3 linked regions of the Caenorhabditis elegans genome follow. The protein of the gene in region 2 purifies or fractionates together with the protein of the main gene of each other region. This does not show direct contact. Each region holds a gene or a part of one and is shown on either strand. Other genes may lie near its edges.

Region 1 (11,982 bases), 5.9 Mb from region 2:
CATGTCGGACATCTCCCTGGAGCGCTGGTACGCATTCCAGTGCATCCTGAAAGCCTTCAACGACGTCTACGAGGATCTTCATCTAGACTCCGGATTCATTGCTGATCGTGACACATTCTGGCCAAAATGCAGTGACATTGTGATTCACGCGACAAAAGCACAAGCAGCGGCGCTTGGGCGGATTTTGGATTATGGAGTTAAAAGTGGATACGTGTTCGATAGACGGACCATGGATCATTTGAGATTGGAGTTTGAGGATTTGCAAGGATTCGACGATAAGGCCATCAATAAGCAGATTTATTACTTCCGGTGAGCAATTGTGTCTTGGGATGAGGACTGTAGGCTCGGAGGGCTGTTAAGCTTAGAACTTCAGGCCATTGCTTTATAGCTCATGTTGAGGTTTTTAAGCTTGAGTTGCTTAGAACCGTGACATAAGGATATCAGGCTTAGGACTTCAGGTTACGGTCTTTAGACTTCAATTTTGAGCTTAGAAGTTTTAGCTTATGCTTTCAACTTTAGGCACTCTATCTAAGGCCTTTTTGAACTCCAGCTCACATTCTTAGGTTACGGCTATAAGACATATGTTTCAAGTCTGGATCAAGCCCCAGATAGCCCCAGAATCTTAGGCTCAGGCTAATACCCTTAGACTTCCGTTTCAGGTCTAAACCGTAGACTCAAAGGAACTAAGAATTGGTGGCTGATTGTTTGGCCCGTAGCCTTGGCCTCTCAGGCTTGTTAGGTTAGAGCCCTGAGACATCCGGTTCGAGTGGTGACTCAGAAGTGTCGACCCTTATTCTGTAGGCAATTTGGCACAGGTTTTTAAGCTTCGGCTGAGGCTTAGGCATAGGACTTAAAGCTTATGTCAGCAAAATGTGTTGTCAAACTACATTTTCGCTCATTTTCTACGCTTTGGGCTTAATTAGACCCCCCCCCCCCCCCAAATCTTCAATTTTTAAAGGTTTTCATCAGGGTTTTCGACGAAATCCACCGTAATTCAGAATTAATTAGTTCTAATTGTGATTTCTGGTGATTCCCGGGTAATTTGGCCAAACTTATCACATTAGAAGGGCGTACGGAACACAAGTCCAACCAACAAAACACAGTATCCTTAATCAAAATTTTTTCAGATGCTGGACAGGTTCCCTCGGATGGGATCATCGCTACGAGATCGTCTTCAACAACAATTCGCCCAAGGAGTGCCACGTGTAAATCACTTTTTTTCATAATTTCTTCGTTTTTCTCATCGTCTTGCCCTCCCTCTCATTAGCTTTACAACCTCCACACTTTTTTTGAAAAATTTTCAAAAAAAAAATTCCTCACCATTCTGTACATAATTCCGATTGTTTGAGACACTCTGTAATAATAAAAATTCCTATCCTTTTTTCTGAAATTTTTGGCAGAAAATCGCTAAATTTCGGTAAAAGAATCCGGGAAACTTGGTGCAGAAAATTCAGAAAAAAATTTTTGGACTAAAATTTATGTATTTTTACATGAAAAAACGGCAAGGTAAGAAGAACTGACAAGAAATTGGTGAGAAATTATGCAAAATAAAGCCATGGTACAGAAGATACACAGATTGGAGAGAGAAATACAGGTTTTACATTAAAAATAGAAAAAGGGAACAATTTAGGCAATGTCATCGTTGGCCGCCAAAATGACACGTGGCGGTGGTGACGTCACCGGCTCACCGTCGGTCGACATGGGGTCCACCTGGTCACCGTCTTTGACGTAGACAATTTGCATTTGGGGATTGAGGCGTTTCTGGAAACAGGGAAATTTTGAGGATTTTTGAGGAATTTTATTAATTTTTGAGTAAAATCTTTAAGATTTTCAGCGGTTTTGAACACTGAAAATCAAAATTTAAGGGTCTCGTAGCGTGCCGAGATTGTGTAGATTTACGGAGCCTTCCTCTTTACTACAGCTCCGTAAACCTACACAATTTCGGCTCTTCCCGCTGGGTCCCTGGAATGTTGCCCAGCTGTGAAATTTTGTATTTTTGGGTCAAATATATGGTACTGGGTCTCGACACGACAATTTATTTTTAGACTAAAAGCGGGCGTGCGCCTTTAATGAGTACTGCAGGTACAAAATTACGTTGTTTCGCGGAATTTTCATCGATTTTTCATGGTTTTTTATTAAAAATCGCTGTATTTGTGAGAAAAACCAGGGATGGGCGGCAAACGATTTTTTTCGGCAAATCGTCAATTTGCCGGAATTGAAATTTTTCGGCAAACCGGTAATTTGCCATATTGAAAATTTCCGGCAAATCGGTAAACTGTCAGAATTGAAGCTGTTCGAGAAATCGGCACTTTGTCGGAATTGAAAATTTCTGGCAAATCGGCGCTTTGCCGGAATTAAAGCTGTCCGGCAAATCGGCAATTTGCCGGAATTGAAAATTTCCGGCAAACCGGCAATTTGTCGATTTGCCGGAAAACACTTGTCAAACCGCAATTGCTGCTCACTCCTGAGAAGAATTACGAAAAGTTAGAAGCTACAGTACTCTTTAAAGGCGCACACCCTTTTGAAGTCCACAGAAAATTGTCGTGTCAAGACCATTTCTGGCTCGAAAATCGCCAAATTTAGCGTTTTTCAAAGCTAAAACCGCTAAAAAGATCATTTTTGGCTCAAAAACAGTAATTTCACGAAAATATTTCAACTTTTCCGGCAACTAACCCCATGTTCGGCAACCCGAACCTCCTTTTTATGGATATCCTTGGCTTCGTAGTAGTTCCGAGCCTTGGTAATCGACAAAAGCATCGAAGTCTGAATTCCGACAAGTGTCAGGTAGAAAATCGATAATGTGAGGAACGTTGGCGTCTGTTTGTCCGGTGGATAGGCGAACAGGGAAGCCGAGTTGACGAGGTGATTTCTGAAGAAAAATTGGATTTTCAAGTGGTGGCCGAGGTTTTTCAGCTGCGTTTTCTAGTCCGCCGGGCAGTTTCTAAACTTACGCGGCCAAAACGTAGACAATCAGCTCGACGACAATCAAAAACGTGTAGACCATGATTGCTGGGATCATATGCACCGCAGACTCCTTTTTTATTCCGATTATAACTTGCCAATGGACTAGGACGCCGATTATCAGGAACAGGAGGGAGGCAACTGCAAAAATTTTGAATTTTTTGGATTTTCAGGACGAATTTTGCTTAAAAACTGGAAAAATAACTCAAAAATTTGAATTTTGCGCCGACCGCATGTTGCAAGCGCGCTCTATTGCGAAAACTACCAGATTTGTCGATAGAGCGCGCTTACTGCATCCGATCGAAAGTTTTTTTAGGTTTTCGAAATAAATTTGTGATCAATTTTCAAAAAATCGAATTTCAACTTTCATGAGAAAATTGTTTGAATTTTCGTAACATTTCACGATTTGTAGAGATTTCGTGCTAGAAAATCAAATTTCACGCCTGATGCAAGTCTGCTCTATTGAGAAATGCCCCAGAAATTTCGAATTTGAAGGAAAAATTCCAGTTTTCCAGCCGATCGCTGGCAAGCGCGCTCTATTGAGAGATATGCCGAAAACTTAAATTTTCGGCGAAAAAATCAACAGAACCTGAGATTATTATCGTTTTTGTGCAAAATTTTGGCCAAGATCTTTATAATAGACTCAAAAATTTAAATTTCGCGCCGATCGCATGCTGAAAGTGCGCTCCAACGACAAAAGTGCCGGAAATTTAATTTTTCATTAATTTTCCATACCAACAGTGCCCGCATCGAAACCTCGGCCATGATCATCCCATCGGAATTCGAACAAGAACATTGCAAACGAGAAGAGCGAGCAGCTGAGCCCAAAGCCAGCGGCAATGGCGGCCGCCCGTGTCGCATGTGTAAAAAACGCGCGGTATTCCGGAGCGTCGTCGTCAAAATGTGCCACGTGGCAGAGCGTGGGTGGCGGCCGTTCGTCCACTTCGTCACCGGGCAGTCCGAATCGCGAGTAGGTGACCTGGGCGTTCTCCGATCGACGTTTCAACCATCCCAACATTCGATCCATTGTGTTTCTGCAGAAAAATCAGCTAGAAAGGAGTTTATGGCCTAACTTCTTTTCAAGTTGGTGGACTAGATTTACGACAACCGAAATTTGAATTTTTCACAAAAATCTGTCAAAAATGGCGAATTTTGACCAAAAATTCGCCAAAAACCATCATTCCAAACAGTGGTGGCCTAATCTTCAGGTAGATTTTTCTAGTCCCCGCAGTTTTCTGGCAGTGGCCTGACTTTATTAATCAATAAAAATATGAAAATCGCATGAAAACGATTCAAATTCACAGAAAAAATTAGAGAAAAATCAAAATATATAATAAAATTCTTCATTTCAACAGGAAAATTAGCAAAAAAAAACTATATCACAGAAAAAAATCGATAAAACGGTTGAGAAACTAGATGCCCTTAATAATAAAGCTGTACAAATTCGAATTTTGGCGGGAAATTTGAATTTTTGGGTTAAAAATTGCAATTTTCAGCGTTTAATTATTCAAAATCTGCTGAATCGCCTGTTTTGCGGCCTTCAAAGCCTTCCGTTCCAACGTTAAGCCAATAAGTCCTTGCCAAACGAAGAAAACTCCAACGACAGTCAGTGCAAAGCGTAAAACGGCGAATCCCATCGGAAAAACTTCGAAAAATAGGCTTCCGAGGATTAAAATCAGACAAATTACCGCCAAAATGAAGAAAAAGATGCGATCCGTGCGTGCGCGACGTTCTCCGCCTGAAAAAATGCAAAAAATTGGGGAAAAATCGGCTATTTTCAGTTGGTGGCCGAACTTTTCATTTGGTGGCCTAGTTTTTAAAAAACTTGATTTTTATGGACTTTTTAGTTTTACGAACATGAAATAAATTTTTTAATGTCAAAAAAAAAGAAAAAAAGTAGAAAACCACAAAATTTGAGCCGGTGGCCTAACTTTTTTTCTTGGAGGGACTAGTTTCCAAATATTCTAGGCCTCGAGTACAAAATAAGATTTTTTAAACCAATTCTCGCATTTTTTTGCACAGAAACATGTGTTTTTCCCAGGAAAACTACGGAAAAGAGTTCGACCACCAATTTCCACTCGGTGGCCTAACTTTTCTACACGATGGCCTAGTTTTTCAAAAATTCTAGGCCACGAGTGCAAAATCTGTGTTCTTAAACACTACAGAAAAAAGTTCGGCCACCAATTTCCACTCGGTGGCCTAACTTTTCCGCACCTGCAACAAGCCCGATAGCCTCAATAAGCAACGGACGATTCGGTTCCCAAGTGTTAACAGATTTTTCGTGTCGAAAACGATCATCAATCGTGAAACGAGCGCGGAGGCCAACGTGATCCGAATAATTAAGGTCTTCACCGGGAATTTGGTTCAACGTGATCTCACATTCCTCCAATTTTACATTGCACCGCCCGGATTTGAATAGCATATAGTCGATGCGTTTGGAGTCGTCCTGAAATTTGAAAAAAATCGATAAATTATTGATTTTTCCTATTTTTTATTTTTTTTTTGCGTAAAAATTGTGCACATCGATTTTTTGGAGAAAATCTGGTGAAAAACGCTCTAAAATTCAAGGAAATCGGTTCAAATTCAGATTTTTCAGATAAAATACCAAAAAAAATCCCTGATTTTCTCCAATTTTGTGCTGGAAAATTGAATTTCGCGGCGATCACTACATTGCAAGTGCGCACCAATGAGAAAATCGGGGAAAATTCAAATTTTCGTGAAAAATTCACGAATTTTTATGAATTTTTACAATTTTCATAGTATTTTAGGCTATAAAATCCAAATTTTAGCAATTTTTATCCTAAATTTTCGAATTTTCGAGTAAAATTCACGATTTTTTCAATTTTCAGCGAATTTTTCAAATTCGCACCACATTTTTCAGCGCCCGCTTCGTATAACAATTGTCTGGTCGATCACACGTTCCGCCTTTTGCAATTCCTCGAAATTTGAGTAGTTCTCCTTCGGAATCCTCATTTTCCACTTCGTGGCTCATTCGCCACGCGTCGAAAAGTTTGGCATGCGACAAAATAAGCCGGAAGCCCAAATCACACGGTTCCATATTCAAATCTCCGGTCACAATGACAACGTCGGCTCCGCGAGCCGTATGGCGGACGAATTGAGCAAGTTCGAATGCCTGAAAAATTAAATTTTGTCAAAAATTGTCTATTTCACTTATTTTCGAGTCACATGCTCGAAAAATTGACTCGAAAAATCAAATTCCCAGCTGCAAATGCGCTCTAATGCATAATTATCAATAGAGCGCACTTGCAAGAAGTCCTATGGATTTTTTGGCGGGAATTTGAATTTTTGAGTTAAAAACTGCGAAATCTTGATGGAAAAATTAATTTTTTGAGTAAAACTTCCTAAAATATTGATTTTTTCTGAATTTTTCGAGTTTTCAAGCACCTGCGCGGTTCTGTGCGGCAAATAGAGATCATTTTCACGATCGTACTCCGCGTGAAGATGTGTTGTGTAGAAATTGACGCGCAAATCGCCGTCAATCTCGATTTCGGTAAGCCCGACAACTTTTCCGCCGAACCAGTCGCCGCGGTGAATGTGATGAGCGAATCCGTTGAGAGAATATCGATTTGTTAAAGTGGATACGATTGGGTGTCTGAAAATATGGAAAAAAATTGGAGAAGATTTGATGAAAATTCGGAAAAATTTTTTTTTTTGGATATTATATTATATTAAATTTTATTAATATTAAAAGGATATTATATTAAACGTAATTTTGTTCAGTTTTATCCTTTTAACCCAAATATTCCACAAATTTCTAAAAATTTAACAAAATGTTTGAAAAAAACCGAAAATTTTTTCAATGTGAACAAGTGGCGCAGTGGGATTTTCGATGGCTACCACCAAACTGAAGACCGGGGTTCGACCCCCCACGGTGGCAACTATTTTTTGTTTTGCAGAAATTAGATTCTAGACGTTGTAAAATGAGCAGGAAACTGTTTTTAGTGAAGGTTTAGAGTTGAGATTTGGATTTTTCGAAAAAAAATTGTCATATTTTCAGAAAAAATTACATGTTTTCAGAAAAAATTTTTAAACTAATTTTGTGGGAATGCTAAGATTTTTAAGTTAAAAAAAAAACTTTTGCAGCGTATGCACAATAAATCAAAAAATGTTGCCTTAGTGGGGACTCGAACCCCGCTCTTCAGATTGGTAGTCGGCGGAAATCCCACTGCGCCATTCGGACAACTTTCGGAAAAAGTAGGATTTTATCGATTTTTTAAATCTTTTTGTAGAAAAAATCACCTAGAAAACACACAGACACCACTGCCAGTGAATCCCGAGTGAAAATAGTGAAAATACGGATAAACCGACGAGACTTGCTCGCTGAGTCGCACAAAATCATAATATGACCAGAGCTCCTGGAGCCCGACAATGTCGTAGAGCTCATCAATCATGTATTGGCCGATTTTATTCAGTCGGTGAACTCGATCCGTAGATCCGATGGGCCAGGGTTGTGGGAGACACCACGCGTTAAGGGTAACCACACGGAGTTGACGAGCAGCCACGTTATCTGCAAAAAATCGATAATTCGGGAGGGAAAATCGTGAAAAATTAGATCCCTGATTGAAAATTAAGCTAAAATACGCGCAAAACTAGCGAAATATCAATATTTTGATTCAGAAATTTGAAATTCCCGCCGATCCTGCTGCAATCGCGCTCCAACGACAGTTTTCTCATTGGAGCGCATTTGCACAGTGCAGTCGGTAGAAAATTCAAATTCTTGGGTGAAAAACTTGAATTTCAGCCGTTTTTTTTCCAATTTTCTCACTTCTTCTCAACGCGGCGAATGATTCCCGGCGGAAAACCGGCTCCATGTCGACTTTCTGACTTTCCTGGGACTCTTGCTCGCTGGATGGCTCCATTAGCCTGGAATATGGGCTTAAATTCGTGTTTTGAAGGGCAAAATAGGTATAAAAAGGTTCGAAAACCTCAAAAAACACTAGAAAGAGTCTAAAAATCACATTTTTTCAGGAAAAAACAAGAAAATCAAAGAAATGTAACAAAAAAACCATAGAAATCTCCTAAAAATCAAATTTTCAACAAAATTCAATGCTGATGAGATCCGAGTTGATCAAGTACTTGATTATGTGCCAAATGACCAGAATCGTGTGCTCCGCCACCTCCATAAAGCGTAGATTGCACAAAAGTCACGAAACGGTCCAAGCTCATTGAGCCCTGAGACATGGGCTCCGCAGACTTGGCGTGTGTCGTGAATACCTCGATGACGGGCTTCTGAAATAGGGGAAAATTGGCTTAAAATTGTGTTTTTTTAGGCTGCAAATGCGCTCCGATGTGAAAATTATCATTGGAGCGCATTTGCAGTAAACGAGCAGCGGAAAATTTGAATTTTTTGCTGAAATTTTCAAATTTTCGCCTATTTTCTCCCGTTTTTTCGTGGAATTTCCGCTTTTTCTTTGCTGAAAAAATGGAATTTTCGACCGTTTTTACCTGCGTAGCAAGACTCCGCTCCGTCTCGTTCGCAATAACGAGAATAAATGGAATTCCGAGTCGATTTGCGTCGTGAATTCGCTTTCCGGCCGACATTTCCACACGATCGTCCAATAAAATGCCTCCTTTTAGATAACGAGAAGCCGACGAGCTCGCCATTTCCACAATCACATTCGACATGAGGCTCTGCAAGGAAAATTGGTTGAAAAATTAATTTTTTAAACATTTTAGAGCAAAAATCGCCAAAAAGCGTCAAAAATCATCTCAGAAATTCACATTTCTTGTCGATCACAGGTTGCAAGTGCGCTCTAATGATATTCTATTCGTTTTTTCTCCAAAAAAATCATTTTCAGTAGGGAAAATCGAAAAAAAAAAATTTAACACGAAAATGGCAGTTTTCTCAATGGAGCGCAGTTGCGTCATGCGGTCGGCGGGAAATTTGAATTTTTGAGTTGAAAACTAAGATTTTATCGAATTTTCTGGATTTCGCAGTGAAAAATCTTGATTTTTCACGATTTTTTAGCGAAAAATTCGATTTTTCTCAATTTTTTCTCCAAAATTGCTCACTTTCTTTACAATAATCACAGCATCGAACGGAGCGATAGCTCTGGGCAGTCGGAGAGCCTTATCACTAACTGATAACAAATCAATTGCCGCCGGAAGAAGCCGTGTTACACCAATTCCAAAACAGCACATATCCAATGGTTTTCCTTGAAATTTGGCTCCGAGAGCTTCTGAATATTTGGTGCCGAGGTGGAATGTGTGCGCAATTTCGACGGATGGGATTTTTTGCACAGTTTTTGATGAATTTTCAGCACATTTTTCACATTTCGCCGGCCCTGGACCTTCGAATTTGTTGTGATTTTTGCAATTTTCGCAGAAATTCACAAAATCCTCCTCCAAACTGCTTTTCAGGTGATATTCATGACTTATATGACCTCCATGTACTCCGGAATCTGCTTCCACCTGAAAAATTTTGGATTTCTGTCGTTGGGGCGCGTTTGCAGCAAAATTTAAGCCTAAAATTCAGATTTCCCGCGGATCGCACGTTGTAGATGCGCTCTATCGACAATTCGCAATAGAGCGCACAAGCGACATGCGGTTGGCGGAAAATTTGAATTTTTGGGTTAAAACTCGAGTTTTCAACGATTTTAGACTAAAAATGAGTCAAAACTTGCCAATTTTAGCTCAAAATTTTGAATTTTTGAGTCTAAAAATCGATTTTTCTACTTTTTTTAAATGAAATTTTCACCTTAATCACATCCTCGTCCAACTGCAAAATCTCTCCAAAAATTCGATCATAAATCTGACGAATCTGTGCATATGTTTGTTGAGATGTCTCCGCATCAGTGGAAAACGAATACATATCCTTCATTAGAAATTGACGCCCACGCATTAATCCGAATCTCGGATTCATTTCATCGCGAAATTTTTCACCGATTTGATAGACAATAAGGGGAAATTGTGATTTTTTGAGCGGTGATAGTGTTGCGATCAGTTCTGTGCACATTTCCTCGGCGGTTGGCTGAAAAAATTGGATTTTTTCGGGCAAAAACCTAAATAATTTGAATTTCTGAGTTAAACTTCGAGTTCTCCGTGCTAAATAACATATATCCTTTTATTTTTAGAGTGTTTGGACGAAATCCCGTTAAATTCGGTGTCAAGTACGCAAACACCAGGCTACAGTAACCCCGGGACACTTGATTTGACGACATTTTGCACTAAAGACCTGACAATTGCGGTCTAGGGGTAATTTGCTATGGGAACTCCGATTTTGAGCTCAGAATTCCGAAGTTTTGACTATTTAGTGGATTTTTTCGGCAAAAAGTGAATTTTTGGCCCAAAAGTTTGGCTCGTAAGTCAAAAGTCTGAAAATCTGAGTTTAAATTCGGATTCCACGTGGTAAATAATCCCTATTTTGACTTTTTCAATGTTTTTGTGCAAAATCCCGTCAAATTCGGTGCCAGGCACGCAAACACCATGCTACAGTAACCCCGGGACACCGGATTTTGCGACATATTGCACTAAAACTCAAAATTTTGAAAATCTGAGTTCAAATTTGGATTCTACAGTGCAAATAACCTCAAATCCAGCATTTTCAGGTTTTTGTGCAAAATCCCGTCAAATTCGGTGCCAGGCACGCAAACACCATGCTACAGTAACCCCGGGACACCGAATTTTACGACATATTGCACTAAAGAACTGAAAATTGGGATGAAGGGGTAATTTGCTACGAGAAATCCGATTTTGAGCTCAGAATTTAGGAATTTAGAGTTGTTTCATCAATTTTTCCCCATTTCCAACTGCTCACCCACTTGAAGGCACATATGATTCTGCTGTCGGTCGTGAAATCGAATCATTTCCGGTCCCATCGCCTCCCATCTGCCAGTTTTTTCCCATAATTGCTGTGTTCCGACGATCGGCATCGCGATTTTCAGAGCTCCCGAGTTCTGAAATTCCACGTCGAGAATTCGGCACAACTTGTCGATTACACGTTGTCCGAGGGGCAGGAGACTGCAAAAATTCGCATAAATTTTGATTTTTTGTGAAATTTGAAGCTCAGAATCGGATTCTACGTGGAAAAATACTCTTAAATCATAATTTTGAGAGTTTTAGTGCAAAATGTCGTCAAATCGGATGTCCCGGGGTTACTGTAGCCTAGTGTTTGCGTACCAGACACCGAATTTGACGGAATTTTGCATAAAAACTTTGAAAATGGATGATAAGCGGTTATTTGCCACGTAGAATCTGAATTTGAACTCAGATTTCTGGAAAAATTGAGAAAATCTCGAATTTCGAAAAAATTTCAGCGGAAAAATAATTATTTGACGGAAAATCGTCGGTTTTTGAGGAATTTTTAATTTTTTAATTAGAAAATTAAATTTTTTGCTAGAATTTTTTTTGGGGCTGTTCTACGTAAAAATCTAATTTTCGAACTGCAAAATGAGGTTTTTTGTGGAAAAAAAACCGTTTATGGAAAAATTTTGGGCATTTTTGCGCTGAATTCGACAATTTTCAGTTGTTTTTCCAATTATCTCAGAATAATAAATGAAACTTAAATAATTTTCAGCAAATTTCACTTCGAAAAACGATTTTCAGATTTTTTGCGCTAAAAACTGAAAAAAATCCAATTTTCCTAATATTTTGCACAATTTTTGACATTTCCACAGCTTTCAGGACAATTTCTTGTGATTTTCACGATTTTTACATCAATTTTCACAAAAAACTCACCTATAAAATCCTTTCGCCGTCGGCAAAATAAATCCATTCTCGACGAGCATCGTATGAGCCATACTTTTGCTTTTTTGAGCACTCGCACCACTTAAAATCCATTTTCTCGCTTTAAAAAGCATTTTTCATCTGGATTTCATGGAATTCTGCAAGAAAATCGGCGAAAAATCAATGAAATTGAGCAAAAATCGGGGCGAGCAGCTAGCTGGAATAAAAGTGTGCAAGCGCGCTCCACCGCACACCGGCCGGAAATTGTGGGTTTTGGATGGAAACAAAAGGGAATAAATGGGAGAAATAAACTAAAATAGGTAGAAATTAAGAAAA
Region 2 (10,477 bases):
GGGAAAAAACAACTGCTCCAACTGCTCCAACATCTCTTCAAATTCTCCGTTTTCCTCAGCCAACTGATGGTGGAGCTTCTTCAGATACACTTGCATTCATGCAAGTTGGGCCTTGGGCATATCCATTGATGGGTGCAAAGACTCCAGTGCTTCGTAACGAATTCGGAGCATATTTGGTTGCCAATCCGACTCCAGAAAATCCAAGTGGGAAAAATTCAGACATTCAAAGATTTCAATTTGTAATTTTCAGACATGACTGTTGCAATCCTACTATCATCAGACATTGAGCGAAGATTAATTGAAGAACTTCACATTGTTCTCCGTGAATTCACGGATTTCAAAGAACAAGCTGAACCATCTACTGAACTGAGTAAAGAAGAGAAGAATAGGATTTCTACAACAATTTCGAATTTTCTGATCAAAGGAGGTCAAAAAATAGCTTGGGGAGTTGAAACAACAACCGTACGAGTGATTTCAAGAGTTGAAGATAATGGAGAACAGTATCGAACAACACTTATCGCAACGGACAAACCAATGCAAGTGTCTCCAGTTATCAAAGGAAGTGTAGTTTATATGCATAAAGGAACAAAGACAGTCGCTAAGTGCACAAGATATTTGTGTAAGTTTTCGACTTTAAGAGAGAAGTTTGTAGAGAAGAGATTCTGAAAAATATTTTGGACACGAAAAGTTGGCCAAATATTTTTTCAAGTATTAGGGATTTAAAAATTCAAATTTTCAGTGGACAAAATCGGAGATATGGGCGTTTCGATGGGAAAGAAATTGGCAGATAGTGCACAAAGACGATTTGGAGATGGAAAAAGTGGAGGACTCGTATCCGGAACCATTGGTATGGCTTATAACTGGTTTCCATAAAATAATTTTTATTTTACTATTTTCAGAAATTCTTGGAGGCGGAATCACTGGTGTTGCCACAGTTTGGATGAGTTTGGAAGATGGTTCCCGTCATCTATGCCGAAGTATTGCGAATCAAACTGTACAGAACGTGAAACTCAAGTACGGAGACGATGCATCAGATACCACTCATCATGCTCTTTTCGCTGCCGGACACGGAACACTTGCAGCTGCTCAACTATGGGATTTGGGACCAAGAAGTGTTGCTGGAAGGATGGCAAGAAAAGCTGGAATTCAAATGGTATCGGATTTGCATCACAGTAGAAAAGGAAGTCGTTTAGATCAAGAAGTGCCAGCTTTGGAGCTCAAGAAGGCTGTCTAGATTTTTTTTTTGAAAACATTATTTTAGAAACAATTTGAATACAAATTTCCTCATGTCTTCTTCAATTCCAGTTAATTTTTACGAAGTTTAATTTTTCATGCATCGAACTTAATTTTTTTGCATTGTATTATTTAATAAATCTATTTTCGCAAAACAGTTATATTTGAACCATACATGTATTTAATCTAAAATTCTATATCTCTGAATGTTTATGCCTTGAAAGCGCAAAAAATACCGATTTGTTTTCAGTGCGATTTTCGAAAAAAAAAAACGTAGAAAATTTTTGAGGATTTTAACGTATTGGAAAATCTCGAGCAATTATAAATTTTGGAAAAATGGCGCCTATTCCAAAAAAGAAGAAGAAAATTGTGAGAAAATCGATCAAAAAGCCTGTTGTAGAAGAAGATATGAAAATGGAAGAGGAAAAAGGTGAATATTCGAACTAATGCTTGCACTATAAATTGATTTCGCAATTTTTATCCGAAAATATCAAAATTTTCAGAAATGCTTGAACCAAAAGAGGAAAGCATTGAAACAGATAATAATGAAGATGAAGCTGGAAATCTGGACGATTCTGAAATTAAAACAGAAGAATCAGAAGATGATGAAATGGAGACTTTTGAGGATCCAGAACAAAAACAAAAGAAGACTGGTGTAAGTTTTTTTTTAACTTTTTTATTCGAAAATACCTGAGAATTAGGGTTGAATCCTAGAAAAAAAACGTTTTTTTCGTAATTGAAAAAATAAAAAAAAGCGAAACATTTTTTAATCGAAAAGGAAACATGAAAAATCGTTTTTTTTAAGCAGAGCTTATAACGAACATTTTTGCATTTTTTAAATAGAAACACTTTGCACAGTTACAATTCTGAGTGTCGTTTTTCTGTATAGAATTTATTCCGAGTCTAAAGCGCAAAAAAATACCAATTTTTTCCTAATTTTAATGAAAATTTATGAGTTTTGAGTTACCGACAGGTTAAAAGAATTTTCCAGGTTTTTTTCGCTTTTAAAAATTAATTTTGTTTAAAAAAACAAAAAATATTCTGCTCACAATCAGAATGTTAGAAAATTTTAAGTAATTCTTCAGAAGGATTAGTTAACTTCAAAAGATCCCTTCTCGGATTGTTGATAAAATATAATTTTAGACTATTTTAGAGGCCACAGATAAAAAAAAGTAATTTTCAGGTTGTCTTCTTCTCAACAATTCCTCCAAAATACAACGTGGTTCGAATGCGTGAATACTTTGAAAAGCGATGCCCTGGACAAGTTGGTCGAATCTTCCTTGCGGTAGCTTATTTTTTTTTCAAATGAAATCATAAAAATTATATTTTTAGCGTAACAAGCACTCGAAAAATCCGCAATATCTATATTCAGAAGGATGGATGGAGTTGAAAAAGAAAAAGATTGCAAAAGCAATTGCTGAACAAATTGATAACACTCCGATTGGTGGAAAGAATAAGGATCCAGTGTCGAGCATGTTATGGAATATTAGATATTTATCTGGGTAAGTTATTCATGAAAATATACATGAATTTTTATTTTTCTAGTTTCAAATGGGTACATCTTATGGAACAATTACAATATGAAAAAGAAGTGGAAAAACGACGAATGAATGTGGAAGTCGCACAGGTACAGTAACCCCCGGTATTGGCCACTTTGCATTAATATTCTTCTTTTCAAGGCTCGTCGAATTGCTGCTCACTTTGAAGAACAAATTGAGAAAGGAAAACATTTGAGAAAGCTTGAAGCAAAGGTTACAGCTTCCGGTGGAAAGTGGGATAAATTCCAGCGAGATGTCCAGCAGAAGAAGGTTGTGAAGGTGAAGAAGGAAAGATCAAAACATGTTAACACAGAGAGTAGCGAATTGATGAATATGATCTTCAAATAAAATTAAATCTTTTTTCTCATTGTTACTTTTATTGTTACTTTTTCACTGTTTTTGTTGCCCTATTGAAAACTTTTTTAAATATAAAAGCGTGACCATAATTCTCCTCCATGATCACACAAACCTTTTTCCAATGTTTAAAAATGTAGTTCCTTCTTTTGAATTCTTCCAAATGTCTCTTCTCGTCCACCAACTCCGTTTGAGCTCATGCAGACGCTTGATCTCTAGCACGTCATCATTGTTATCTTCAAAACCACGTAATGAGGATGATATTCCACATCCATTGCAAGTATTGTCGGAGCAGGAAACCGGATTCGTTAAAACTGGTTTGTACTGAAGAATTAAAAGATTCAGAGAATAAATAGTGCAATTTAAGTTCGTCAATTTGCGGATACAGTGATAAAACCTCTGGTTCGTGAAATGGATCGAACTTCGGAAATGACTCCAGCTGTGATCAATGGATGCTTTGAAAATGGGGTATTATATGAAAGTAATTATCCAGTTGCGACACTTTACGGTCTCGCAACGAAACAAATGTATTTTTTAATTAACTGCGCAAAACGATGCGCCTTCAAATTAGTACAGTAACCCATTTTTGAGAAATGTATTACTGTACTTCTTAAAGGCGCATACTTTTTTGCGCGACGTCTACATAGTATAGCAACTGGGTAATAATGTATTTTGAAAATGTTTAAAGTTAACCTCAGCTGATGGGCATCGAAGTTCCTGAAAAGTACGGTGGCCCTGGAGCAACGTTTTTCGATGCTGCTCTCGTAATTGAAGAAATTTCAAAAGTTGATGCATCGGTTGGAGCAATGGTTGATGTTCATAATACACTCTTTATTCCTTTAATTATTGAACTTGGAACAGAAAAACAAAAAGAGAAATATCTTCCAAAATGTTATACTTCATCAGTTGGATCATTTGCTCTTTCCGAGACCGGATCTGGATCTGATGCATTTGCATTGAAAACAACTGCAAAGAAAGATGGAGATGACTATGTGATTAATGGATCAAAGATGTGGATCTCAAATTCGGAGCAATCGGAAACATTCTTGGTGTTTGCTAATGCGGATCCAAGTAAAGGATACAAAGGAATTACATGTTTCATTGTTGAAAAGGGTACTAAAGGATTTACCATTGGAAAGCATGTAAGTTAACTTTTATAACCATTTTCCAGAGTTATTTATTGTGACTTTTCGCTCAAAAAAGTCTCGCCACGAACAAAATATCAAGTCAATGACGCTCAAAATGAGTGCCTCCAAGAAGTACAGTAACCCATTGTATCGTTTTTTCATCGTCTCTTCTATCCAAGACATTATTTTGCTGAAAAAATTATTGAAAAACATGAAATACATCAAGGACTCAAAGGAAATCAATGGAAGCAGGCATATGGGGTTACTGTATTCCAGTTATTTTATTCCTGGCGAGAACGGGGGTACAGTAGTTTGTACAAAAACGCAACAAATCGAGTTTTGCGGTTCCGCTTTAAAATGGACGTAATAATCATCAAGTTCAGGAGGACAAATTGGGAGTTCGTTCATCTTCTACGTGCCCACTTCATTTTGATAATGTACGCGTTCACAAGTCGGCAATTCTTGGAGAATTTGGAAAAGGTTGACTATAGAATTAATAATTCCAATTTAAGTACACAATGTTTAAAGGTTACAAGTACGCAATTGAATATTTGAATGCTGGTCGTATCGGAATTGGAGCTCAAATGCTTGGATTAGCTCAAGGATGTTTTGATCAGACAATTCCATATCTTCAACAAAGAGAACAGTTTGGGCAGAGAATTATTGATTTCCAGGTGAGACATAAAACATGACAGAGAAATATATATATACAATAGACTTCTAGGGAATGCAACATCAAATTGCTCAAGTCAGAACTGAAATCGAAGCTGCTCGTCTGTTGGTTTACAATGCTGCTCGTATGAAGCAACACGGATTACCATTTGTTCGTGAGGCAGCAATGGCGAAGCTCTTTGCATCACCAAAGAATTCCCCGTCGAGAAATACTATCGTGACTGTAAAATTGGAACGATTTACGAAGGAACTTCCAACATTCAATTGAGCACCATCGCGAAGCTAATTGACGCCGAATTTAAACAGAAGGCCTGAAAATGTACCTCTCCTCCTTATTGCGAGGGTTAATTCGATATTCTCATTTGATAAATATGGATTCATGTTGGTGTTCTAAGGGAAAATGTTGTTTGAAAATTTATTCTAATTTGTATCTATTGAACGTCTAGTTATATAAAATTATAAGAGAACGAGAGAAAAAACGAAACGTTACAATTTGATTATTAATAGAATTCTTCGTTTTCCCCATAATCTGTATCTTCATAGTCAGATTCATCGAGATTATCTTCATAACGTTCGTAGTCATAATCGGGATCAAAATTGCTATCCTCATCGTTATCATAATCATCATAATTGTCATCGTACTCCGAAGAATCGTCAGCGAAATGGGGTAGACCGAGTAGAATTTTCTTCTGAAAAATAACGTATTTATTTGGAGACATGAAAACTGAATATTGAACTTACAAAACTAGGCGAGAAATCATAATTTCCGGTTTTTCCAATTTCTAAATTAATCCAATTCTCACTTTTCCATAAAACTACAAGTCTTTGATCATCTGGAAGTTGCTTGTGATATACATTGCTGAAATTAAGATATTCAAAAAATAATTGTCAAATTATGACATACTGGCCAGAGTCCTGCTCAACTTGTGTAAATCCTGCAGGAATATTTTCAAAATCTAGGCCACTTGGGTTCATGATGTCAAGTTTCGATCCAGTTGATCTGGTAGCCACGAACTTCTCGATGACGTCACAAATAAGGTCACCAGTAAACTTCTTGGATTTGAGAGAGATCACTGACGCTTTTAGTGCCATGACGTCTTCATAGGTTGCTGTGGTGATAGTAGAGATCTGAAACACATAATTTCTCTAGTCACAAGTTATATGTTTTCTAAAGTGCAACGCATATATTCATAACTCATCTTACCTCGATTTTGTCCATTTTTTGCACAATTGCCGCATTTTTCCCGAGAAAATCGAAATCATCGTCATCATCACGAGCTTGTCCGTCTATTTTCAAACCATTCAGCAAACTTCCATCACATTTATCAAACATTTTCCAGAGAAGGTCACATTTTCGCGGATTTCTCCAAAAAATGGATTGAACTTTTAGAGAACTTTCCATGTTATCTAATGTCTCCATAAACTTATTATTCAATTCCTCGAAATTATCTGATAATTCTACAGTTAGGAATCCAATAACAACATTATTTTGAAAACACATTCGATTAAGGAATGCGATAGCCTCATCAATTGGTCGAGATCCTTCAATTATAATATCATTTTTCGAAGATTGGGAGATTCTTGTGTCGCATTCGGGAGTCATTTTAAACTTGAGAGAATGTACATCTTTGAATAGTTTAAATGTAAGTTTTACGAGAACTCCTACACTGTGAAGATCCTTGATATAGACCGATGGAATGAAGAGTTTTGTAGATGAAACAGCATGATTCATAGTAGAAGAGGTTGCACGAAGTTTGCATCTAAAGTTTTGATTTTTTTAAAATTATTTAAGGAGAATAATACCTTGAAATTAAATCACATTTCTCGATAAGCTTCTCTAACAATTCTGGGGGCAAGTCTAATATTTCGATAGGTTTTCTCACCATCTGAAATTCAGAAAAAGCAATTATTTCGGATCAGTTTGTTACAGCAAACCTTGGCGGAAATTTTGAAAATATATCACAAATAATCTGAGACCTGAGCTGTACAACAGAAGTTGGAAACAAAAAAAAAAGTTGAAAATAGTTTTAAAAATTGAAAGCATTTATTTTTTGAGTATCGAAAAACTATTTTTGAAACTATTTTAATAAATTAACAACGAATAAATTACTACGTAATCTAACAATCATCTGAATCACTACTGGAATCGTTTGAAATATCAATCTTCTTCCTTTTTGCTGCTGTGCGAACACTGAAAAAAGAAAATTGAAAAATTTAATTTAATTTTTACAAACTCACAGTTCTTTGATATCTTTTAATCTCATATTATTCCAATTATTTCCTGCTATTCGTTCCGTGGTAGTTTCCGATTCCATATCTTCTCCTTCTGATGATGATGACTGATCTTTCCAGTCAACTCCTCGCTTTTCAGCTTCTCTTTTAACCCATTCACGAACTTCAGCTGGCCTCATTTTTGATAAATCTTTCACTTTAAGTTCTGTACTTTTCGATCTTTCTCGTCTCTCATCTTTTGTAGTAGCTTCTAATAACAAATTCCGTTCGAATCTATCGTCTTCAGAGTTTGATTCATCCGACGAAGACGAAGAAGAGCACGATGATTCATTCCACGTGTCTTTCCTATTTCGAAAGTTATCTTGGAGAACTTTGAAGGTTTCAGTGAGAAGTTTTCGAGCATTCATAGCAGATCTTCGACCACTTGGCTGAAAATTTTGATATTTATAATTTTAATTTTAAAAGTATTTTGAATTACCGTATAAATTTCTCCATCAGTGTCTCTTTCACTTTTGCCAGGCGTAGTTACTTCTGAGAATCGAGGAACATTCAGGTAACTTCTTTTAGCTAATAAATCCATTTTTGATTTTAGCCGCTTCCCATCGACAGACAAAATATTGTGTGGTTCATCATCAAGTCCACCATCCGAATAGTTATTTTGTCCCATCAATTCATTCGCGGTTTCAGTATAAGACGCTGGACGAAGTTTTGCAGTTTCTCTGGAAATTCGAAGGGTTTAATTTCACGAAAAATTTTGTAGAATATTCTAAAAAAGAACCTGGTGACGACTCTAAATCCATGAAGAACGATATGAAGTAGAAAATCAATTTTATTAAATGATCGATAGCAGAACCCACAAATGACTGTCTCGTTGATGAAATCTTTTGGAATAAAAAAGTATTGCTGTGGAAGAGTATAATCATTTGGATCTCTGAAAGTTTTTGTTCTGATAAGAACATATTTTGAAAAAAATTACGTTGCATTGAACGTTGATTCTCCCTTAATCGTATACTGAAGAGGTGTGAATGTTCTAATATCGAATGAAGCTCTGATTTCATGTTTCGCCGATAACCATTCATAATTCATGAATTCTTCAGTAAAAAGGTACTTGTGATGTTGATCAATATGTCGAAGAGCATACATTCTCATAATGAGTTGAGTCGTGAAAATGTGAGCATGGGCACGTGGACAGAGACAACAACGCCACTTGAATTCATCTTTTCGTAGGTTCTAAAAATCGAAAAAATTATTTAAATTTGAAATTGAAAAAAAATGTACCTTGAAAACATTAGAATATAGAAACAATTCCTTGGGAAATTCAAAAGTGTATACTTCTTCTTCTTCTGGATTTTCAGCGTTATTCACATTCTCACCGGCTTCGTTCGCAACTTCTTTTGGGTCAGGTTGGACATGTGTGAAGGATGAGCTCGATGCGATACTGAACAAATAATAATTGAAAAAAACGAATGTTATGCAGGCAGGCCTTATCAAAAAATCAGAGTTGTGCTACGAATTCAGTAATTTTGGTGCTCCAGAATATATCAAAATTGTTCAAGTTTTACTACGCAATAGTTTTTTATTTAACTTACGGATCTAGACAACTATGACTTGATAATCGAAAGTGTTGTTTAATTGTTTCAGAAGACACCAAGCAGCAACAAACAAGACAATATCTGACTTCTTCCTTCTCCATTCCACTTCTTTTCTTCAACTTTGTCAGGAAATTCTCACCGTTTTCCATTTTAGACAAGTTAATAGTGTAAAATGTCAAATAGCTCCGCCCTTTGCACATAATTCTTTGTTGTCGTATATGCATTAAGGCTCTCACATCGAAATCAGTCTCTTCATTGAGATGATACCACTCAAATTCGAAAAACCCAGGAACACTAACCATAACTTCTTCGAAATGATGATGTTCTAAATGAGTCAGGGCGTATGTCCGCATACTGATTGTCTCATTGAAATTAACGGCTGATTTTCCTTCACACATTGGACATTTCCAGCTAAATTTTGAATTTAGAATTCGGAATGTCCCAAGAGACCGCCCATTTTTAAAGTTCTGCCACCATCTTGCAGAGTTTGAACTGAAGCTGTTTAGTGTGGAATCCGTTGAAGAGAGGCGAATACCCCAAAAGTTTGAATATGATTTTCCAGCGGCGATCCGAAGTTCGATTAAAGAGTTGTCAATGGAAAATTTGATGTGACGATAATTGCAGGCTGAAATTTAAATTTAAAATATCGAATTTTGCTTCATCCCAAGTTTACTTACCATGAATTCGTTTCAGATGATCTTCTGTTTCTTCTTTATTTACAGGAATACAGCAGGTACGACATTGGGTTACTTCGTTCTACAGTAAGTCTTTCATTAATATTATTTTAAATATTTATTCCTACCTGATGGCTCATTGCATGTTCCAAATGTTCTTTTTCATCGTTTCCCATCAGTTTGGAGCAGTATCCACAGACATGCAACAGATTTTGCTGAAAACAAGTATTTTTTCGCTCTGATTAATTACCAATTTCTACAAACCTGTTGCAAACTATTTGAATCGATACTTGATGAGTTTCGTCGAAGCTGTTTTCTTTTTGGAGGCATTATAAGTTTGAAAAATAAAAGAAAATGGAAAGAAATCTCGCTAATTTGTCCATTCAAAAAACAATTCTACCCGCGTTTCTCTGCTGTCTCCGTTCTCTGCCGCGTGACGAAAGAGCGCGCTTGCATTAATTCATTTCGGCGGTTATTCAAAACAGAGTTTTTGGCAGATTTTCAAAAGTTTCAATTAGTTTCCAATTAAAGGCATAGGCAGGTTAAGAATATTTATTGTCTCACTGGAATCATAGTAATTATAACAGATTAGATGATGTCAAAATTGTAGAACAACTTTTTTGGACGTTCCAAGGTGGTAGAAGTCGTTATTTCAAAATGATAATTTTTAAAACTATCATGAACCTTTTTGCGAAAAATAACGTTTTTTCCTTGTTATAAATATTGTTATTTTTAAAATTACGAACTATGTATTTAGTTATAGAATGTATATGGACACTGTTAGAGGTACATACAATTGAAGCATAACGTCAACAGTGGAGACACAGACAACGAACTATTGGATAGTCGTTCTTTTCCGAATAAATCCCAAAACTATGTTATTTCTCTCCGTGACACATATCGATTTTCTCATTTCACGTCTGCGTCTTTTGGTATCAGAAGCTTTATTCAGACTGTAGATTTAAAGTTTAAAATAGACTCCGCCCATTTCTTGGCCTCTCTGGATTTTGAATCTGTTCTCAATATGCCTGAGCCGAACAAATATTAAAATCAAA
Region 3 (9,664 bases), on a different chromosome or scaffold from region 2:
TTCACCTATGAGCCTGAGCGAGGAGCCGCTGATAAGGCGATGGGAGAGTCGAAGGATGTTGTTGTGACTACGAATACTACATATTTGGAAGATCTTGTCATTCTTCTCAAGACCCCAACACTTGTTGCATGCACTTGGGGATACACTGCCCTGGTATTCGTGTCTGGAACTCTTTCGTGGTGGGAGCCTACAGTAATTCAACATTTGACTGCTTGGCATCAAGGACTTAATGACACAAAGGATCTGGCAAGTACTGATAAGGATCGAGTAGCTCTTTATTTCGGAGCAATCACCACAGCTGGAGGACTCATCGGTGTCATTTTCGGATCGATGCTCTCCAAATGGCTGGTAGCTGGATGGGGACCATTCAGAAGACTCCAGACAGACAGAGCACAGCCTTTGGTGGCTGGTGGCGGGGCGTTGCTTGCTGCTCCATTTTTACTTATTGGAATGATCTTTGGAGATAAGAGCTTGGTGTTGCTGTACATTATGATCTTCTTTGGAATCACCTTCATGTGCTTCAACTGGGGTCTGAACATCGATATGTTGACGGTTAGTGATGCGACATTGAAATTTTTAAATTCAATGAGTGAAACAGGGTGTTCAGTGATTGATTTTCCCGATTCCTATTGACTTTTGTTGTTTGTGAAGCGAATCAAATTTGAAGCTTTTCTCAAAAATATTTTCATTTTTTAGTGATCGAAAAATCAATCTCCGATAAAAATATTTAGAGTTTCCGTAAAGATCAAGGATCCTTCAACTGCGTTTTCTGCAAAAATAAACGAACGTGAAAACTGTTTCTCTTTTTTCAAAAAGTACCTGAAAATCGGTTCAATTACTGTACTGAAACAGACAAAATAAGTTAAAAAACCGGAAAACCTGAAAACCAAAAAAAAACAAACCGCCGCACACTCGTGGCGCCAGGCTGTCCTATTACGGTTTGACCTACAAAAAATGCGGGATTTTTTTGTCCAAAAAAATGTGACGTCAGCACGTTCTTAACCATGCAAAATCAATTGAGAACTTTGCGTCTTTTCTCCCGCATTTTTTGTAGATCAACGTAGATCAAGCCGAAATGAGACACTCTGACACCACGTGCACACCAGAGAACGCATAATAGCAGAACAAATTTCAGACTGTCATCCACCCGAATCGGCGAAGTACTGCTTTCTCCTACTTCGTACTGGTATCCCATTTGTTTGGCGACGCTTCTGGTCCGTATCTCATCGGGTTAATCTCCGACGCAATCCGCCACGGATCCACATATCCTAAAGATCAATATCATTCATTGGTAAGTGCCACGTATTGCTGCGTGGCACTGCTTTTGCTCTCTGCCGGACTGTACTTTGTGTCCTCACTCACGCTGGTCTCGGATCGGAAGAAGTTCCGAGCGGAAATGGGTAAGTGCTCGTTGTTCTTGTATGGTGTCGGGGAAACGTATATTTTAGTCAGCTATTATTGGAATTATTTCAGGTCTCGATGATCTTCAATCCAAGCCGATTCGAACATCAACTGACAGTTTGGAACGGATTGGAATTAACGACGACGTTGCGTCGTCCCGACTTTAATTCCTCCTTGATTTCATTGCTTTAATGTCCATAATTTGGGTTTATGTATTTTTAGAACAACGGGTTTTTTGTCGTTTTTGTGAAGATTTTTGTAAACTGCTAATTTTTATTGTATAAATAAAAACTCTTTTAAATAAAAAAAAATGTTTCGGAATAAATTAGAAGACAAGACGTGCCGAACGAAGTGGACAGCTACAGTAGGCTGCATCAGGTCCTGGGATTCCAGGTGGTCCTTCAGGTCCTGGCTCCCCTTCGTCTCCCCGCTCTCCATCCAATCCTGCTGCTCCAGGTGGTCCCTCTTCCCCTTCTGGCCCAGGAATTCCTGGCTCTCCATCCTTGCCTGGGAGTCCTTCAGCTCCTGCAACACCCGGTGCCCCTGGTGCTCCTGGCATTCCTATCTCTCTGATTCCACTGGCGCCTGGTCTTCCATCGACACCTGGCTCCCCGTCTTCTCCTTGATCTCCAGCATCTCCAGGTTCTCCCTCGACACCTGGTGGTCCATCATGTCCAACTTCAAAGTTGTCAACTCCCGGTGGTCCTGGTGGTCCCTGCTCTCCTGGCTCTCCGTCTGGACCTGGAGGTCCTGGCTCTCCGACTGGGCAGCGAATGCATGGGGGTCTTTGATAGATGAGGGATTGATCAAAGAGTGGAAAGTCTGGTCCGGGTTGTCCTGCGTCTCCATTCCATCCGTCATCTCCAGGGGCTCCTGGCTCTCCTGGTGGTCCTGCAGGTCCGGGTGGGCAGTTATTGACCTTATTCATGCATCCACACTTTGATTCTCCACTTCTCTTTTGTCTTACGACGGAGCGATTGATTTCGATCATATCATCCCAGGCTTCAGTTGCGAACTTCTGAAAAATTAGGCCAGATTGATGAAAAAAATTGCCGCGTCGTGAGCCGTGAGTCGTGAGCAATTATTTCAAAAAAAAAAAACTTTGATAATATTTTTCGAATCAATGTTATCTTTAACTATACTATTGCAGTTTCAGAGACTTTAATGTTTTTCCACAAGGAACACTTGGTATTCCGCATAGTTTCTTATTATCCCACACGAGAAATTTTGTGCATTTTGAGCTGAAACTACGGTCACCGGTCTCGACACGAAAAACTTTTGTTAAATAAAAAAGGTGTGCGCCTTTAAAGAGTACTGTGTTTTCGTTGCTACGTAATTTGTATCTGGTTTTTCACAGTTTTTCTCATGAATTTACGTGTTTTTATTGTTATATTTGCCAAAAAACTGTGAAAAAATCGATAATTTTTGCTCTTGCAGAACTTTCATCGATTGTTTTAAAAATAGTTATTTGTTAAAAATTATATACAAACACGCGGAAAATCGATTAAAATTCTGCAACAGCACAAGTTTGAAACTACAGTAACCTTTAAAGGCGCACGATTTTTCTTGGATTTAACGAAAAATTGTCGTGTTTTTTACAGAAAAAACTCACATTGAACTCTGCCACGTCATCAAGTGCCGTGGAATAAAAAGTCCGAAAATCTGCGAAAATGAGCAGCCCCGCTGTAATATACCCGACGACGAGTATCGACGAAACCGAGACGGCTGCGCAAATGAAGTTGTTCGACATTTCAGACAATCTCTGCCTGTCCTCCTTGCCTTCCAATCGGCCTTATGTACTCTGCCGGCTAATGCCCGTTTAACGAGCGATCGCGCAATTTTCTCATCATTATAACGTGCTTATACTTTCAAAACGAATGAATTCATTTCGTGTTTATATGGGTGTTTATCATCAAAACAACACACAAATACAAGGGAGAGAGAAAACTGAATGATTAATGAGACATTTCGAAATGATATTAGAATCCGTACTTTTGTCGCGCCATTCGCTTCGATTGCTTCTGATCGGCCCATTGATCTTTGAGCTGCTCCTCGCGGGATACTGCCTGAAATTAAGTGAATTATGTGATTTCTAGCACAAGCTCTTAAAAAGTGTTGATCTACGCAGATTTCATACTCCACGAGGACAACTTTGCACTTTTGTTTGGCTAAAATCGGGTTTTTCGATTTTTTTAAAATAAATTGTTAATTTTGAAAAAAAAACTGTATTTTTGTAATTGAAATCAATTGATTTTGCATTTTCGGTGAATTTATATTTTTCTCGTATTTTTCCGTAAAATTATTGTTTCCGATTTGTCGGTTTTCGAAAAAATTGAAAATTTTCGTTTTTTTTTAAATCTTCAATTTTTTGAAGACCGAATATTCCATCAAGAAATTCAGCCAAAAAATGAGAAATAAGTTTTAAAAAATTGACTTTTCCATTCTTTCGCGATTTTTTTTTTGGGTTTTTGATGCAAGTAAAAGCCTGAAAATCTATAAAATCTGGAATATCTCTTACCAAGCTGGCCAAATACGTAATTTGATGCTTTCTTCTCGACATTTGTCCTTGAGTTTGAACTTGTGGCAATGGAGCAGAAGTTGCTTCAACAAATGCGCGATGTCCAAGATTCTTGATAATATTTGTCTTAACATCCGGTCCGAGAGCATCATCCACATTCACATCGACAATTGAATTGGCCATTTCGTTGATCGAACGACGTTCTTCTTGTCCAATATCATGAGAGAATCGCATCAAAAGCTTATGAGCTTGCTCGTCATTGATCTTCCGATGAAGCCAGGCATTTGAAGCAGATGGACCTTCTTGAACATCTTCTTCTTCTTCTGGCATTTCATACATTTGTCGAGGATCCATTCCTTCATCTGGACGGGATGGCCCAACTACATCCATGCTGCTGTTCATTGTCATATATGGAATTTCTGATGGAATTTCTGATTCTTTTCTAGTTGGAGCAGATGAGAAACCGAAGAAATCGGTTGGACCGTCATCATCGTCATCACTGTCGTCTGGCAGTTTTGGAGCTGGAGCCGGCTTGAAAACTGGAGCAGCAGCAGGTGTAGCCTGGAAGAGAAAGAGTTTTAAAATTAAAGTTTTAAATTAAATAAAAATTCAGTGAAGAAATCTGGAAATTTTATCCTGATTTTTAATATTTATGGGGACAAAAATCGAACAAAAATTCCCCGGTTTTATATTTTAGCTTGAAACAGCGAATTTTCGCGCCAGAGACGCCGTGTGTCGATTTACGAGATTTGTGTATATTTACAAGATTTTCAATCTTTATCGGATGCTGATTTCTGTTTTTCAACGAGTTTTCTTTATTTCCGTCGGTTTTTGACAAAATGTTTTGAGAAAATGTGTTTATTAAGGCCAATTAAACATTATATTATCAAAAAACCAAGTAAATTTCCAATGCTTAGGTCACAACTCAGCGGAAAATCCAAATATATGCTTTTCCTGACTGAAAATCGAATATTTAGTTAGTTTTTTGATATTATAATGTTTAATTAACCTCAAAAAAAAACACATTTTCAAAAAACGTTTCGGCAAAAACTGACGAAAATTGAGAAAACCGGAAATCAGCATCCGATTAAGATTGAAAATCTCGTAAATATACACACATTTCGTAAATCGACACATGACGTCTCTGGTGTGAAAATTCGGAAATCTCATGGGGACGCAAATGAAAATCGGCGATTTCAAGCTGAAATAAGAAATTAGGGAAATTTTTTTACTTAGTTATTCGAAATCAGAAGTATATTTTCTCAGAATCCGCACTCGACTTTCAATTTTTACCTTTTTAGAAACTGAATGTGGAACCATGGACTTATCGAATACATTTGCACCATCTGAACGATTATCTCTTCCTTTTGGAGCTGGAAGGTTTGACAAAAAACTGTTTCCAAGCTTCGGCTTAACTGTAGCAACAGCAGCACCTTCATTATCACTGTCATCGCTGGAATTTTCGCCAGTAATTCCTGCGAGAGCTCCGAACGCCGAAATTATAACTTTTCCTTTTGCTTTTTGAATTCCACCACCAATTTTCGGAATTTTTTCAACTTTCATCGCTTTTTTCGCCAATTTTTTCTCCTTTTTTCTCTCTTCTTTTTGTGCTTTTTTCAGAGCTTTTTTCTCCAGCTTTCTCCTTGCTTTCTCGGCCAATTTAACCTCCCATTCTTTCGGTTTTACTAATTCTTCGAGAACATCTTCTTTGTTCATGTTTGGTGAGCTTGATTTTTCTGTATTGTCAAAAAATGCTTCATCATCGACGAGTTGTTGATTTTGTGGAGCGAGTGAATTCTGAAATTTTGGAAAATTCGAAAATGTTTTCAAACTGAATAAAGAATAATTTGCTTACTTTTTGTTGTGTTTCCATTTCTTCATCACTTTCTGATTCACTTCCTGCGTAATCCACAAGGCCCATTTTGAGAAGAATTCTTCGAAGAAACGAATAATTTCAGACGAAATAAACAATACGAATATTGATTTCTTTATTCGAGAGGACTACACACAATAAGAAAGCAACAGCGCTCCAACGTACACCGCGCGAAAAACACAATTTTTCAAACAGCGATGGAGGGAAATTTCTTGAGTCCTATTTTGTTTCTTGTTCATTTGTTCCTTGTTTCATTTGCTTTTCTGTTCTCACTATTCAATAAAAATAATAATTTCAGTAAAATGTCAGCCAAAAATAAAGAGCTCGCCGAAGAGGACGTGCTCAACATGACATGCGACAAGCTTCGCAAGGAGTTAAAGAAGAAAAGGGCTTCGACTGCGGGAAAGAAATCGGAACTTCAATCGCGTCTTTTGGAGGTTTGAACTCAGTCGAAACAATGTGATTAATTTAACTTTTTCAGTTTCTCGCTGGCCAAAATAATGCCGGAAACGGGGAGGCAATCAGGGAAGAGCCGGAAGCCGAGGCTATGGACACCGACGAAGCACCTGCCAATCGCACATTCACAGTTGAAGAGGAAGAAGAAACTGAGAATACTACTGGCAGATTTGTTCGTAAGTTATATTCCATTTAGTTGAAATTTAAACAGCTTTATTACAGACGAGAATACTCCGACAAATGCGGTTGCTGTCGTTTTGGATGATGACTTGAGAAACCGTCTCTGTGGCAGTTTGGGAATCGATCTGCAAAGCTTCGAGGTGAAGTCACGCCCGAGAGTTCATCGTCTTTCGACAAGACTGTCTCTCCGCGCTAGTTCGTCGACTCCTCAAACATCTGAGCGACCAGGAATGCCGATCGAGAACAGAGGAATTACGCCAGTTCGTCAGCGTGCTCCATCCAGTGGAAGAGACAGATTCGCAATGATTCATGCAAGAGAGATGGAAAAAGAAGAAACACTCGGAGAGCGTCAAGAACGATTGAAGAAACGACACGAATTCATGACCGGCGACGTCCCAGAAGCTATCAGGAGACTTGCTACCCCGAAAAGTGTGCCAAGACGTGACCCAGTTGATAGATCAACTACAAGATCTGCTGCGCGCAATTGGCAAGTTCAGGATCCTGAGAAAATGTCCTTCCAATTCGGGGATAAATCTGCTGATGATTTTCCCGCTCTTGTCAGCTCACGAGCTGGCTGCTCATCGTCATCTGCTGCCACCACCTCTACCAAAAAGACAAAGTCCGTTGCAAGATCTCATGTGGACGTGAAGAAGCTCACCAAGTCACAAATCCCGAAACCATGCCGTTTAACTTCTCGAAAAATCATTCCTGCAACTGTCCCAGAAGATGATACATTCACCGAGTACATTTCCACGCCAAAAGGAACCACTCCAACTAGAGGTAACTATTCATATTTATCTTTTTTTCGCTAATTCATAGCAATTTTTAGTTCCACGACGTGCTGGTTACACACCACACTCTACGAGAAAAGTGTTCGTCGACACGACTCAATTGACGGATCGCGAGTTCACTTTGGCACTGGAGGAAGGATTAATCCCCGGAAGAGCTGCCACGAACCTCGAGAAACAACAAGTGGAGAACAAGAAGCGCCGTGACGACATTATCGCACTCAAGCGTAAAATGAATATCAAGTAGATATCTCAATTATTTTCTTATTTATCTTCACTCACTCGTCTCACTAGGCTAAACCTGTAAAATATTTCGTTGTTGACTTGTCGAGTTTCTGAAAATGAATTCTTTTAATTTATTACAATTCTCTTTATTTATTTTCTATTTATTTATTCCTCTATTCAATTGTTTGCGACAATTGTGATATCTTTGAATATGTCTTTTAATTTTTTTAGCAAGAAATATACGGTGGATCCGGATTCCCGAAGCGCAATTCGCGGCACGGTTTAATTTTTTAATTTACCATAAAAGCGCGTGCCGCGGAATTACTTTTCGGGTTCCACCTTCTATTTCTCGCGCTTATTTTGGACTTTAATTACTCTGACAATATAATATTAATCTTTTCTAGTGCAAAAATGGCGTTGTGGGTGGACAAATATCGACCAAAGGACTTGTTGGGAAAGGATGGCGTTGATTATCACATCGAGCAGGCCAATCATTTGAAGTTTCTCTCCGCAGACTGTATGCCGCATCTCTTGTTCTGTGGTCCCAGTGGAGCTGGAAAAAAGACACGGATCAAGTGTCTGTTGAGGTTTAATTATTGGTAAATTCAGTAAATAAAATAATATTTTTCAGAGAGCTTTACGGTGTTGGAGTCGAGAAAACGCAGCTCATCATGAAGTCGTTCACTAGTCCGTCGAATAAAAAACTTGAAATACAGACTGTCTCGAGCAATTATCACATCGAAATGACGCCGTCTGATGTTGGAATCTATGATCGAGTTGTTGTGCAGGATCTCGTTAAAGAAATGGCACAAACGTCTCAAATCGAATCAACTTCTCAAAGATCGTTCAAAGTTGTCGTTCTTTGTGAAGCGGACTCACTGACTCGTGATGCTCAACACGGACTTCGTCGAACTATGGAGAAGTACGCGAATAACTGTAAAATCGTTTTGAGCTGTGAATCCCTGTCCCGTATCATTGAGCCACTTCAATCTCGTTGCATCATCATCAATGTGCCAGCTCCAACCGATGAAGATGTGACCAAAGTCTTGCGGAAAGTGATTGAACGGGAGAGCTTTCTACTTCCGGAGAACGTTTTGCAAAAGATTGTGGAGAAGTCTGAAGGAAATCTGAGAAGAGCTATTCTGATGACTGAGGCTTTAAGAATGGAGAACGAGAGTGGTGTGGCTGAAAGTGTAGTAATTCCGGTTCCGGAATGGGAGATTTATATCCAAGAGACTGCTCGTCTGATCCTCCAGAAACAGAGCTCCGATATGCTTCTGAAAGTTCGCGAACGATTGTACGAATTGCTCTCCAGATGTATTCCACCAACTGTCATTTTTAAGGTGAGTTATAAGCACACAAATAGTATAAAATGTTCAAAAATATTTAGAAATACATTTTCAGAAACTTCTCGAGCATCTCCTTCCCAAATGTCCGCCACAAATTGCACGTGAAGTTGTCAGTGAAGCAGCGAAATTCGAGCATCGCCTTGTTCTCGGACAAAAAGCAATTTTCCATCTTGAAGGATTCGTCGCCGCTTTCATGGACATTTACCTTACTAATGCTTCTAAACCCAAGTGATCTCTGTCCCCGCGTATTATATTATTCTACTTTTGTGTAATCATAAACTTGAAACGAACTACATTATGGTTGTGTGGGTATTTACAGAAACAGCATATAATAAAAATCGTATCGCAAAGGAGAATAAAATGACCGGCGATAAAGCTTAAAATATTTAAATAGATTATGAAAATGACGTTATGCATCACTGTCCCGGGGTTGAGGTTTCGGGCTTTGCGCAGACTTCAGAAGACGATCGAGTTGGGCCTGGGTGGCTGCGGCATCCATCGGCTGGGAAACAGTGGAAGGAGAGCTCACCTTGCTCGGCTTGTCCTGAAATATGGAAATTCACATAGAAAAAAGATCTAAGATTGATTTACCTTATTGAGCAAGTTGGAGAAGAAATTGGCGAGTGGACTGTCCTTATCGGTAGGCTCTTCTTGCATAGTCCTCGGCTTGGGAGCGGCCGTAGTGGTTGAAGTTGCCAGGATGTCCATCAACTTCTTCAAGAAAGCCTGATCTTCCTCGGCTTCGATGAGCTGCTCTTTTGCGACAGGTCTAAGCTTATCGCGAGTCGGCTCTAAAGCTGAATCCACATCCGGAATAGACTCCTGAAATTAATCATGAACTCGGATTCTCCAATTACTTATGTAAAACTTACAC

Evidence for each region.
Region 1: the proteins of acdh-4 (region 2) and T27F6.6 fractionate together in Caenorhabditis elegans (co-fractionation; one large-scale study listed by BioGRID). This does not show direct contact.
Region 3: the proteins of acdh-4 (region 2) and rfc-3 fractionate together in Caenorhabditis elegans (co-fractionation; one large-scale study listed by BioGRID). This does not show direct contact.

Annotation. Positions count from the first base shown.
Region 1 is NC_003279.8:12,486,839-12,498,820, reverse strand, and holds T27F6.6 (Putative neutral sphingomyelinase), read right to left. Parts: upstream 7,846-11,982; 5' UTR 7,842-7,845; coding exon 7,748-7,841; intron 7,490-7,747; coding exon 7,222-7,489; intron 6,575-7,221; coding exon 6,367-6,574; intron 6,095-6,366; coding exon 5,831-6,094; intron 5,408-5,830; coding exon 5,176-5,407; intron 4,700-5,175; coding exon 4,461-4,699; 3' UTR 4,291-4,460; downstream 1-4,290. Other genes in the region: T27F6.8 (F-box domain-containing protein), read left to right, coding at 1-309, 1,128-1,209; K11D2.1 (RCC1 domain-containing protein 1), read right to left, coding at 1,321-1,332; T27F6.7 (uncharacterized protein), read right to left, coding at 1,627-1,761, 2,674-2,869, 2,952-3,102, 3,697-3,988; pars-2 (putative proline--tRNA ligase, mitochondrial), read right to left, coding at 8,026-8,211, 8,428-8,613, 8,995-9,393, 9,680-9,952, 10,743-10,941, 11,659-11,780. UniProt on the Caenorhabditis elegans protein: Catalyzes the hydrolysis of sphingomyelin producing a ceramide (N-acyl-sphingoid base) and a phosphocholine. C.elegans contain specific sphingoid bases, which are unique or different in structure compared to the sphingoid bases found in other animals.
Region 2 is NC_003279.8:6,541,443-6,551,919, reverse strand, and holds acdh-4 (Short/branched chain specific acyl-CoA dehydrogenase, mitochondrial), read left to right. Parts: upstream 1-3,244; 5' UTR 3,245-3,288; coding exon 3,289-3,442; intron 3,443-3,492; coding exon 3,493-3,593; intron 3,594-3,823; coding exon 3,824-4,267; intron 4,268-4,635; coding exon 4,636-4,732; intron 4,733-4,780; coding exon 4,781-4,926; intron 4,927-4,976; coding exon 4,977-5,192; 3' UTR 5,193-5,303; downstream 5,304-10,477. Other genes in the region: spg-20 (Inheritance of peroxisomes protein 1), read left to right, coding at 1-204, 251-619, 740-847, 900-1,234; F57B10.8 (Activator of basal transcription 1), read left to right, coding at 1,570-1,663, 1,737-1,888, 2,417-2,518, 2,566-2,735, 2,779-2,860, 2,913-3,119; T10E9.1 (F-box domain-containing protein), read right to left, coding at 5,425-5,613, 5,666-5,783, 5,829-6,052, 6,129-6,684, 6,728-6,810; T10E9.2 (C2H2-type domain-containing protein), read right to left, coding at 7,043-7,115, 7,163-7,584, 7,635-7,875, 7,935-8,087, 8,133-8,386, 8,435-8,594, 8,746-9,373, 9,426-9,504 and 2 more.
Region 3 is NC_003282.8:13,087,917-13,097,580, forward strand, and holds rfc-3 (Replication factor C subunit 3), read left to right. Parts: upstream 1-7,845; 5' UTR 7,846-7,852; coding exon 7,853-8,028; intron 8,029-8,072; coding exon 8,073-8,784; intron 8,785-8,845; coding exon 8,846-9,022; 3' UTR 9,023-9,164; downstream 9,165-9,664. Other genes in the region: spin-2 (Major facilitator superfamily (MFS) profile domain-containing protein), read left to right, coding at 1-552, 1,136-1,400, 1,474-1,568; col-132 (Nematode cuticle collagen N-terminal domain-containing protein), read right to left, coding at 1,727-2,419, 3,014-3,151; prcc-1 (Proline-rich protein PRCC), read right to left, coding at 3,381-3,467, 3,920-4,480, 5,213-5,716, 5,775-5,840; C39E9.12 (SAP domain-containing protein), read left to right, coding at 6,095-6,229, 6,274-6,424, 6,471-7,208, 7,258-7,463; dli-1 (Dynein light intermediate chain), read right to left, coding at 9,200-9,334, 9,382-9,612, 9,663-9,664.